Cricetulus griseus: one gene and its partners. The protein of the gene in region 2 purifies or fractionates together with the protein of the main gene of each other region. This does not show direct contact. Links are inferred from orthologs where the notes say so. Each region holds a gene or a part of one and is shown on either strand. Other genes may lie near its edges. The genes, in order: Asf1a, Nasp and Asf1b.

What was found.
Region 1: the proteins of Nasp (region 2) and Asf1a purify together in Homo sapiens (affinity purification with mass spectrometry; 6 studies listed by BioGRID and IntAct, counting the BioPlex papers as one, with this or other methods). This does not show direct contact. The link is inferred for Cricetulus griseus from reciprocal best matches to the Homo sapiens genes NASP and ASF1A.
Region 3: the proteins of Nasp (region 2) and Asf1b purify together in Homo sapiens (affinity purification with mass spectrometry; 5 studies listed by BioGRID and IntAct, counting the BioPlex papers as one, with this or other methods). This does not show direct contact. The link is inferred for Cricetulus griseus from reciprocal best matches to the Homo sapiens genes NASP and ASF1B.

What each region holds. Positions count from the first base shown.
Region 1 is NC_048595.1:255,430,264-255,432,922, forward strand, and holds the end of Asf1a (histone chaperone ASF1A), read right to left. Parts: intron 1,245-2,659; coding exon 1,032-1,244; 3' UTR 555-1,031; downstream 1-554. UniProt on the Homo sapiens protein: Histone chaperone that facilitates histone deposition and histone exchange and removal during nucleosome assembly and disassembly.
Region 2 is NC_048595.1:35,763,303-35,767,665, forward strand, and holds the start of Nasp (nuclear autoantigenic sperm protein), read left to right. Parts: upstream 1-1,473; 5' UTR 1,474-1,596; intron 1,597-1,947; exon of another isoform or gene 1,948-2,021; 5' UTR 2,022-2,060; coding exon 2,061-2,119; intron 2,120-4,363. UniProt on the Homo sapiens protein: Component of the histone chaperone network. Binds and stabilizes histone H3-H4 not bound to chromatin to maintain a soluble reservoir and modulate degradation by chaperone-mediated autophagy.
Region 3 is NC_048596.1:160,459,135-160,463,428, forward strand, and holds the start of Asf1b (histone chaperone ASF1B), read right to left. Parts: upstream 2,820-4,294; 5' UTR 2,663-2,819; coding exon 2,554-2,662; intron 2,052-2,553; exon of another isoform or gene 2,011-2,051; intron 1,946-2,010; exon of another isoform or gene 1,910-1,945; coding exon of another isoform or gene 1,828-1,909; intron 1-1,827. UniProt on the Homo sapiens protein: Histone chaperone that facilitates histone deposition and histone exchange and removal during nucleosome assembly and disassembly. Cooperates with chromatin assembly factor 1 (CAF-1) to promote replication-dependent chromatin assembly.

The DNA of each region.
Region 1 (2,659 bases), about 220 Mb from region 2:
AAATAAGCTTTTGGCCCATTTATTTGGTAAATTCCTTTCTAAAATTGTTCTTCAACTGTCTGGAAATCGGTCTAGAATATGTCAACTACAGATGTGCCCTGATCTTATCATTTTAATGAGAAGCAGAGGATATGGGGTATTGTAGCTGTGAACCTAAGACATACTTCTGAAGGTAGCCAGCCTAATAGGATAAAGCTAAGTAGACCTTTCTAAATTACCTTTCTGTAGCAACAGTGCCAAAAACACATGTTCGGAGTTTCTATAAACTGAATAGCAGATCTGAGCCATTATAATCTAATCTTATACTTTAGAAACCTTGCGTTTATTCTCACCATGTTGAAATCTTTGGACAATGATTTATGATCATGGTTTCTCAGTTTTAGAAGTAGGGAAGCATAAGCCATAGTCAGAAGGACTTCAAAGGTAGCCGCATTTATTACATAGAAACCAGAAGTCCAGTGTTAACACAAGCTGTGGTGGTAGCCACAAGACACACTGGGGTGGCCTAGAAAAACCTTGGTGGCTACAGTTGATTTCAGATTCCCTTTTTAAAGACATCTCTCTTTTTTTTTTTCTTTTTACTACAGTATGGAAGTTTGCTCCTTAAATTGAAAGGACACTGTCTTCACAGGAAAAAGCATTTTAGTTGAAGTAAACTTTGTTCTTTTAAAGGCTAGTAAAAAGTATTACTGTCCAAGAGGCTAAAACACCTTCACAACCTGGTCTAATAATTGATAAGTTTTCTTTTTATAAGTGCTTTAATTACATATAAAGAAGAAAATAATATATATATACTTTAACCAGATTAGTTTCATGAACAAATAAAATAACACATTAGAGAAAGAAAGTACTTAAAAATAGTTGTATTTATATTCCACAATTTGCTCAAATACTGGTTTTCTTATAAACTTTCTACAGGATGTTTTTAAACAAATTCTCTTCACATTTCACCTTGACTATGTACTTACGGAACTTCAGGGAAATAGTTCTGTTTTTAATAGCTTAATCTGTACTACTGGGATGGCACCTGGTCACATGCAGTCCATGTGGGATTCTAACATGACATTCAGTGAGTTTTCTGACGTGGACCATCCCTTTGATGCTGAAGGTAATGCATCTGTTGAAAGAAGGGACTGTAGATTTGGATTACTGCTCTCTGCATCTTCCAGTTTTTCTGTGTTATCTTCCCAGTTAATGTGGAATCTTGTGACTCTGGGATTAGATGCCAAAATATTTCTTTGAAGCTAGAAAAGAAACATTTAAATGATGAGCACCAGGAAAGTTAAGATTACCATATGCAAACTGAGTGGCTCTGGCAGTCCTTTTAAAGGACTAAATTCATATGCAAATGTATCAGCAAGTGAAGCACTTAAACCTAACTAATAAGCAAGGACTACAATAGCAAATAGCAAAAGAACTATTCCCCCTTGGAAACAAGGTAAGAAAAAAATCCATCTAGATCTTCCAACCTCCCCGCCCCCAACACACAAAGTACCTTGCTTTTATATTTCTGCTTCTTAAAGGATAATGGAAGGGAGGTACTTCTGCACACCCTTTAAAGGATGTTTTTAGTTAAATAAGCATGCCTTTAGCCTAATGTGTTTTCAGGCTGGGAACATAGTGCAAAAAAAGTACTCTGGCTAAGTCCCTAGGTTCAAATAAGCACCAAGAAATAAAACAAAAAACAAGACTTGAAAATTTTCCTCAAATAGAACCTCTAATTACTGGGATCTTAACTGTAATGTATTAAAATTCATTTTTAGAAACAGTATTCTAGTGTTTTGTTTTGTTTTGTTTTCTGCTATACAAAGGTTCTACTAATCCTAGCTCAACAGGATGTCTCTAAATTGTGGAAGATATCCCACCTGCACCAGCAGAAAGCAGAAGTCTCTAGTCTGTGGCAAGTCTGCCACATAGAGTACCACACAGAGTAAAAAAAAATCACAGTAACTAAGACTGGTAACCATTACCAGTTGAAAAAAATCTAAGATACTAAGTGATTTTAAGACTACTGAATCAGATTTTGATGTCTCAGAATTTAAGTTGTCATTATCAGAAATACTTAATACCTTTAGTTTAAGCTCTAATAATAGCAGACAGGATAACATATACAGATATTCTAAATATTAATAGAAATAAGCACACATTGGGCATGGTGACAACTGTAATCCGAAAGCCTGGACAACTGAGGAACAATGCCATAGCCATAGTTCAGGGCCACTTTGGGTTACAGCAGAAAGCCCTGTCTCAAAACCATCACAAAAGAAATGACCAATAAACCACATTTATCTTCTTGCTGTGATTTTAGGAAGTTATAGGCAAAAATATTTTTATAATCACTTCACTACAAAAATAAGACATTACATGTCCTCAAGGTTGAAATAAAAGACCTAACGGCAATGAAGGCCTGCTCTTTGCAGGAAGCTAGACCATCTGACTCAGGGTACCCATGGAACATTAATTCCTGGAGAGACAGGATTGAGGCCTTCCGTGCAAATGGAACAATTAGTTTGTTCAAACACTACAAAACTTCAAATTTCTTTACGGCCATGTTATAGAATGAAATAGCAACCCCCCTCAAAACTGAATAGTACACATAACTAAAAAGGAATACTAAGAGCCAGGCAGTGCTGATACACACCTTTAATCCCAGCACTTG
Region 2 (4,363 bases):
TGCTGGGATTAAAGGCGTGTGCCACCAACGCCCGGCCAAACCCTGTCTCAAAACCCCCAGAAACGGGTGTGGTGACACTCAGGTAGCACTTGTGAAGTGGAGGCAGGAGGATCAGGAATGCAAGATCATCCTTGGCTATGTAAAGCTGGAGGCTAGGATCAGCTATATGATACTATCTAAAAAACAAACAAAATCCCAGTGCTCAGGGGGCAGAGGCAGGCAGATCTCTGAATTTGAGGCCAGCCTGGTCTACAGAGCAAGTTCTAGGACAGCTAGGTCTACACAGAGAAACCCTGTCTCAAGAAACAAAACAACAATAAGGGTTCCTGATTTAAATATCTTATCTTGTTTAACATTAAAAAAAATTTAAAAAGCTGGTCAGTGGTGGTGCACATCTTTAATCTCAGCACTTGGGAGGCATAGGTAGGCAGATCTTTGTGAGCCATCAACGCCTGGCTTCCTGTACATAATTTTAAAAATTAAAAATATTTGAGACAGGATCTCATTATGTTTCTTGGTTGTCCTGGAATTCACTATATAAATCAGACTGCCTGGAACTCAGAGATCCCGAATGTCTCTAGAGTGTTGAGACTAAAGGTGTTTGTGACCACACCTGACCTTTTAAACAAGTTATTTTTATTATTATTATTTAGTTTTGTTTTTCAAGAAATGGTTTCTTGCAGGGTGGTGGTGGTGCATGCCTTTAGTCCCAGCACTCGGTAGGCAGAAGCAGGCAGATCTCTATGAGTTACAGGCCAGCTTGATCTAAAAGAGCTAGTTCCAGGACAGCCTCCAAAGCCACAGAGAAACCCTGCCTCAAAAACAAAAACAAAAAAGGTTTCTCGGTGTACTCTGGTTGTCCGGAGTCTAGCTTGGTAGATCAGGCTGGCCTTGAACTCAGGGAGATCCACCTGCCTCTGTCTCCTGAGTGCTGGGATTAAAAGCGTAGGCCACCACGCCCCACCAAAAAAGTTATTTTTAAAAGATTCCACTTTATTTTATATGTGTGAGTGCTTACTTGCATGCATATACGTGAACCATGTGTGTGCCTAGGGCTTCTGGAGGTTAGAGGACGACACTGGATACCCTGGAAGCGGAGTTACTGACAGTTGTAAAATAAGATGGGTATGGTGGAGCTCACTTGTAATTTCAGCACTTGGGAGGCGAATCTCTGTGAGTTAGAGGCCAGCCAGGGACATAGTGTGAGTCCCTTTCATATGTACTAAAGATAGAAGTAAGATAGCTAAAAAATTTAAAGTGTTTTAAGTACAGGGATTCAGCTCAACAACTCAGTGTTGGAATGTGGGTAGGGTGTCAGATGAGGGCGTCACTGGATTGGGCCAGCCAAAGGCGCGTGGATCTAGAGAGAGGAGGAAACATCCCTACTCCTTTGCCCCTCTGAGTTTTGAATCTAGCGCGATAGTTTCATCTGTAGCCAATCGTAGAGCAGCACCTTCTTTCGTCAGTAGTTGCTGAGGCCCAGAGCCACGAGTCTCTCGGGTCAGTTCTAGCCGTTGCTGTTGTACTCGTGCTCGGCTCTTGCGTTTCCATCCGTTAAGACTGAGAGGGCATACAGAAGACCTGTCACCTTCTCGGGTATCCCCGCCAGAAAGAAACCCTCGGCTACTCTTTCCACGCCCGCAGAGACTCACTGGCTCCACTTAACGTGGAGGCTCTGGCTGGCTCCATCAGAAGTTGTAGTGCCAAGATTCTGGTGCTTCTAACACGGCCAGCTACCGGGAGCAGGAAGTTCTTTTGTTGTTCGATTTTCTTTTCTTTCCAAGGAAAAGCGGGCCCGGGCGGGAAGATACCCAAACGGGAAGGGCTGCGGGGAGGTGTCCTTGTGACGGAGAGGTGTTGAGTTCTGGCCCTTTAAACCCAAGGGGGAGGATCCGGAAGTGGATGGGCGGGGCAAGCGGCCCCGATATATAAGAGGGCCCCAACCGCGCGGGGTCTCCAATCTGCCATTTTCTGTGCCTGAGTAAGTCTTTGCTGTCCTGAATTCTCTGTTCTCTCCACAGGCAGTGCTCTGCCCACCGGCCCACCGCGTCAGGGGAACGATGGCCACAGAGTCTACAGCCACTACTGCCGTCGCCGGAGAGCTGGCTTCCGCTGACAAGTAAGCCGGACTGTGGCGAGCGGGAGGCGCTGGCCAGTCCGTGGGGAGAGCTGTGGACTGGCTTCGCGGGCCGGAGGGCGGGCGGGCGGCGGGCCCGGCGGGGGGGTGGGACAGCTGCCTTTCCCTGGAGAACTGCGGCTGTCCGGAGGGAGCGGGGCTGTGGAGAAGCCCCCCCCTCAGGCGGCGCTGGCGACCGGCGCTAACGGCGGGCGGCTGGCGCCCCCTGCCCGGCTTTCCGCGGCCGCCATCTTGCCGGGGGCAGCGGCGGCTGTCTCCATCGCCTGCCCTTTTTCTTCCTCCCCCGGCCCGGGGCTGCCGCCGGTGGGGAGGCGGGGCCCCCCCGTCGCCGGTCCCCTCTTGAGCTCTTACTCTCGGCGCACTAGCGGGAGAGTCTGTAGAGGAATCTAGAAAACGACCAACAGATTTGGCGCCAAAAGAAAAAAAAAAAAAAAAAAACCTACACACGAGGATTGAGGCTCAGACCTGAGGGACCCGAGTGGGCGGGGCCTCGAGGAGGGCGGGACTTTGCACGCGTGCGTTCCGTGTCCCGGCTCTGGAGACGGGGGCGGGGCCTCGAGGAGGCGGGAAAACTCCATTGTTTGGGGTTTGGAGCGGCTCCTGCGGCAGCCGCTGGGCGCAGTGAAGTTTATCTCGTTGACTGTGTAGTTGACTGTAACCCGCGGGGTCGTTACGCGACCGAAGCCCTGCGACTCTCCGCTTTTGCTGAGAACCCTCAGGGTGTCCTTAGACTTTCCGTGTGTGGGTCGGAGATTTGGTTGCTCCAGGGGTCATTTTCACACTGATGGCTTCTTCGGTAAACGCTACACGGAGAATTCCGTACTTGCTAGATGAGTCTGCTAAGATAAAAGGACCCCCCCCCCCCCAAGAGGGAATAATTGCTTTGAGAGCTTCACAGTGCTAATCAAACATGAGCTACTTTTTTGGATAGTGCACAGAAACGGCCCATCATTTGGAGGAAACAAGTTTTCCGTACAGTAGGTCCTACTTTCCAATCTTCCCTTGTCTTTTAGGTGCCTGCTAATATTTTTTTTTTAATTTATTTATTAGTTCTAGTTAGGGAACAAGCTTGTTCACATGTAAATCCCTTCTCTCTCTCCCTCTCCCTCCCCTCACCCCATCCCTCCTCCCCCACCCCCAGCCTACCCCCACTCCATCCACCCACCACTCCCCAGGCAGGGTAGGGCCCTCAACGGGGGGCTCTGCAAAGTCCACCAAATCTTCCTGTGCCTGCTAATATTTTTTTCCGTCCCTGTACATTTTAGAAGTTTTTCCTCTGGTAAAAGTAAAGTTGGCTGTGGGGTTTTTGAGTGTTTTTTTTTTTTTTTTTTTTTTGCTGTAGGTTTAGGCATACTAGTTGACTTTTCAATTAGTACAGTTGTACCAGATATTAACGTATCTTTGCATACTTTACCTGTCACCTTTTGGTTCCTTTTCTAGTGGATTCTTGAAAAGCAGTGTTTCTCAAATCACCAATTTCCTGCCTCCTCATTGATTTCTTAGGGCCAGAGTAGCTTGAGTTAGGAAAATCTGTAGAATTTATTTATTTCAAGACAGGGTTTCTCTGTGTAACAGTCCTAGCTCTCCTGGAATTCTCTTTGTAGATCAGGCTGACCTCAAACTCACTGAGATCCACCTGCCTCTGCCAGTTTGGCCTCGAACTCTGAGATCTGCCAGCCTCTGCCTCCCAAGTGCTGGGATTAAAGGAAGGCCTGTACCACCACAGACCGGCTTTGTTTTTTGTCTATAGTTTTTATTATTATTATTATTATTTTGAGTCAATTAAAAAAATGTTATGGGATTGGAGAGATGGCTTAGCAGTTAAGACCACTGGCTACTCTTCCAGAGGACCTGAGTTCAATTCCAAACAACCACATGGTGGCTCACAGCCATAGTGGGATTTGATGCCCTTTTCTGGCATGCATAAAGTTGTACATACCAGGCTGGTCTCAGAGATTCATCTGTCTTTGCCTTCCCCATGCTGGGATTAAAGACTTGCACCACTACCGACAGGCATATAACGAGGGCTCTTAACTGCTCATCTATCCATCTTCAGTCTCATTAAGTAAATTCTTATTGACTCACATGACTATAGTGTGAAGTCTTAAATTTTTCTACACGTCAGAAAAGTCAAGTTTAGAATGGAGAGATTGTCAAATTATTATTTTGAGTTTTCATTTCTTCAATTTCCATGAAAAATCTTGTCTGTCAGGAAATTGTATAATG
Region 3 (4,294 bases), on a different chromosome or scaffold from region 2:
GTGAGTTCTAGGCCAGCCAGAACTATGTAGTGAAATCCTGTTTCAAAAAACAAACAAACAAAACCCCCACTATTGAGGAGGAAGAGATGGTGGGTTCCTGGCTCATTAGACAGCCAGCCTAGTAGTGTTAGAGCTCCAGGTTTTGCAGAGATTAAAATAGGTAGAACAGGGCTGGAGACTGCCCATGGGTTAAGAGCACTAGCTGCTCTCCTAGAGGCCAGGCAGGTTCCCACCATCTGCATGGTGACTCCCAAAGTCTGTAACTCCAGTTCCAGGACACCCAACTCCTTCTCTTAAACTCTGTGGTACCAAGCACTCAAGTGGTACCATAAATACATGTAGACAAAACACACACATTTTTTTTTTTAAAGAAAAAAAAATGGTACAGAGCAATGAAGAGCAGTTGAGGAAGACCATCTGGTGTCTCTAGCCCACACCCACAAATTAAATTCAAAAAATAAAATTAAAAAAAAAATCTGAACTCAGAAACAAACTTCAGTGGTAACACTTTACTGTCTGGCTGACTTGGAGAAATCATCCTGCTCGTATTACAATGGCCAGCAGCTGACTTTAGCCTTGATGTCCTAATTCCATAAATAAGGAATCAAAGTAATATTAGGTAATGACCATGCAACCATTTTTATTTGCAAAGAGCACACTCAGGCTGATTGAAACCTGCTCTCTCAGCATCTGGGAACTGTGATTCCATTGATTTATGTCTCCTCTTGGCTTCCAAATAAATCTTATCCCACATTGTTACCCTATATTTTATTTATTTACACCCTACCTTGTTCCAGCAAGGATTTAACCCAGCTTTATTCTATAGTTAAGCCACAAGTAGATTCCTTTAAACTTAAGGAGAAACTAGGGAGAGGATCAGCCAGTGGCCCACCCCAAGCACACATTATAGCAGCTCCAGGTGAACAGAAGTGGCTGGATTTGTCTGAACACCAACCACAGCCACCAAGAGGCACTAGTTTTCACAACCTAGCCTCTCAGAGCTCCACCTCCTCAGCTGCTACATCTTTCAACCCTCAGTAGGAAAATGAGGAGTGTTTCCTCCTAAAAGCAGGACTTGCCTAGTGTTAATATTTTGTTTATGATCTAACAAATAAAGCTTGCCTGAAGATCAGAGTGCAAAGCTAGCCACACTAGCTAGCCATAGAGGCCAGGCAGTGGTGGTACACACCTTTAATCCCAGCACTTGGGATACAGAAGCAGACAGAGCTCTGTTAGTTCGAGGCCACCTGAGCTACACAAAATTGAGCCAGTCTGAAAGAGAAACAGAGCTCAAAGAAAGGTGATCTCAGCACTTGGGATCCTATACCTTTAATCCCATCAATAGAGAGGACTATAAGGCGGGAGGAGACAAGGATGTGCAGTCTGAGGCAGTCTGAGCAGCAGTACAGTCTGGACATGCAATCTAAGGACAGGATCACCCTTTCTGTCTGAGGTAGAGGTAAGAGCTAGTGGCTGGCTACTTTGCTTCTCTGATCTTCAGCTTTAACCCCAATATCTGTCTCTGGGTTTTTATTAAACATGCTACACATTGCCTTGCTGTGGAGCTGAGACTACAAAGTGACCTCATGGTTAATGTGTTCACAGACTTATTTCAAAGGTCTTTTGGTCTTTGTGGCCCTTGTCCTGTCATCTAACAGCCACGTCCACCTTTATGTCCTGCAGATGAATGAAGTCATTCTGTGAAAGATTCACAAAGGCCAGCGGTCTCTCTCCCCAGCTGACTGAAGTTGAATCCCATCCCTGTTTGGTCAGTCACCCCCCACCACCACCAGGTCAGCCCATCAAAAGGAAGGAGGGATTCCTTACACTGAGTCTGCTGGAAGCTGGTAGAAATCCCAAAACTGGCAGAGGCCTGCCTGGCTGTAGCACCCCTTTCCCGAGTGTTCATCCAATCCCAGACCAGGAGCTGGGGAGGCCAAGTTATCTACAAAGAGCCAGAAGACCCCATCCCTCCCCGGGGGAAGGTCATGCATAGGATATGGTACTAACCTAAAGAGAGGCCCCGGTCTGGACAACAGCCATGACGTTACAGTTGGCTAGGAGGAGTTGCTAGGGACAAATGTGGAGATGTCTGGGGATGGTATCGATGGGAGACAAATGGGGTGGAAGAGGTCTTGCCATGGGCAGACAGGGTAGCAAGAGGAGGGTCTGCTGGTCTGTAGAAAAGCCGTCCATAAGGAAAATGGGGGAGGGTACTGGAGGTTGGGTTTCCATGGAAGAGAGAATAGATGGGAGGTTTTCTATGGGGAAATAGGCATGAAAATGGAGTCTAGCCATTGGGAAGAAGGCGTAGCCGCGGTCTCTTACACGCTAGATGGAGGCTTACACCACTACAAAGAAAAGGTGCCAAGGACAAGTGGTTCAGGACGAGGGGTGCCTCCACGAGACAGTGCAGGTTACCGTGCACTGGATCCTATCCACCGAGTTGGACCACGGAGGCTTATCTCTGAGTGGAGAAGTTCCCGGGGAGGCTGGGAGTGGCAAAAATGAGGGCAAGAGGGTTTGGGGTCCCCTGCACAGGCCCAGCCTCACCGTCAGACAGGGCCTCACTGCATTCGAAGCTGATCTCGAACCGGAAGGGGCTGTGGAAAGGGCTCGGGTTCTCCAGGACAGCCACGTTCAGCACCGACACCTTGGCCATCACCTCGCCAGGGGGTCACAGCTGCAGTGGAGCCTTCTCCGGTGTCCTGCGCAGCCAATGGCGGCTGGGGAAGAGGAGGTCGCCGAGGCAGAGAACCTCTCAGCGACTCCAACTCTTCTCTAAAGAGCGTCTCGCGTCCGCGCGCGGCCTTCAAATAGCTGACTCCACCCTCCAGCCAATCGCCGCTAAGGATCTATGACGGCGCGAGAGCCCCGCCAGCCAATCCTGAGGCTTCTTCCGGTTTGCGCCTCGACCCGCGGACCAATCAGAGAAGCTTCCTCTTCACGGTCCGCGGGAGGCGGAACGATCATCTTTTAGCTTCGCAAAGTGTCCATCCGGAACCAATCCCTAGCGTCTCCGACTCGAATATCTTGCGCCGGGGTGGGCGGAGTTAGAGCGCGGAACTTCTCTTGTCCAATCCCAAGGGTTACCGCATCGGCGTGACCCGCCCCCTCATTCTGCTCTTCCGGTAGGCACACCCCACAGAGAGCAGAGCCACTAACGGCCGAACGGTGGCGCGCGACTCTTACTTAAGAGCGCTGAAAGAAGGGAGCCAGAACTCGCCGTGATTGACTAGCGACCACGGGGCGGGGCTTCAGTAGGCTTCTGAGATGTGATTGGCTAATGTCGCGGCACAAGGAGGGCTGCGCTGGAAGCCGCCCTCCGGCTCAGTGAAAAGCATGAAGAGGCAAGCGTGATGGCGGCGCTCTGGCCTCCGTTTGTCCGCTGGTGAGCGTTTCCGGGAGCTCCTCTGAGGGACTCCTGGCCTTGAGGACAGCGGCCGTGAACATTTGGAGCACCCCTGAGACAAGATGGCGCGGCAGCGAGTGGGGACCCAGGATGGAGTCCCGGTCCGAAAGGAGTTGAAGTTCGTCGACGTACCAGGGTTTGGATCCTCTCTCCAGCCTGTTTTCCAACCGGTTGAAAAATTCACTGCGAAGGCCTGGGGTGGTGGCGCACTCCGGAGGCGGGGGCAGGCGGGTCTCTTGAGTTCGAGGACAGCCAGGGCTACATAGAGAAACCCTGTCTGGAAAAAACAAAAACAGAAGAAAGTTAACTGCCACTATTTATGACGATATAATGCGGTCTTCACTCCATGCCCCTCTGGCTCCCTAACCCTGCCACAGTCTCTTACACATACAACCAGTGAGAAATAATGCTAGCCACAGACCTTTTACTAATAAGTCTTTTAAAGGAAACAAAACAAAACGCCTGGAGTGCCGGTGTATATCCATTAATCCCAGCACTCAGGAGCCTGAGGTAGGCAGACGTCTGCGAGTTCAAGGCCTGCCTGGTTTACACAGTGATTTTGGGGAAGTAAATGAATAGATAAATTGGTTTTCACATTTGACCATCCTTAAAAGGCCAAGAAACGATGAGAGATTGATTTTAGTATTACATTTAACTCAATAGAACAAAAATGCTAATTTCAAACATTATCAGTATAAAAATGCTAATGAGCTATCCTGCATCCTTTTATTCAGTGAGAAATTTTTGGACTCCTGTACATGTTTTGAAGGGACCAGCTCCGTGTTTCGGCAGCCATAACAGCCTAGCACGTGCTTGCCTGACCTTGCCTTAGTCACTAAGAGGTCAGAAGCCTGCCTTGGGGCAAGGAACCAATCAGAAGTT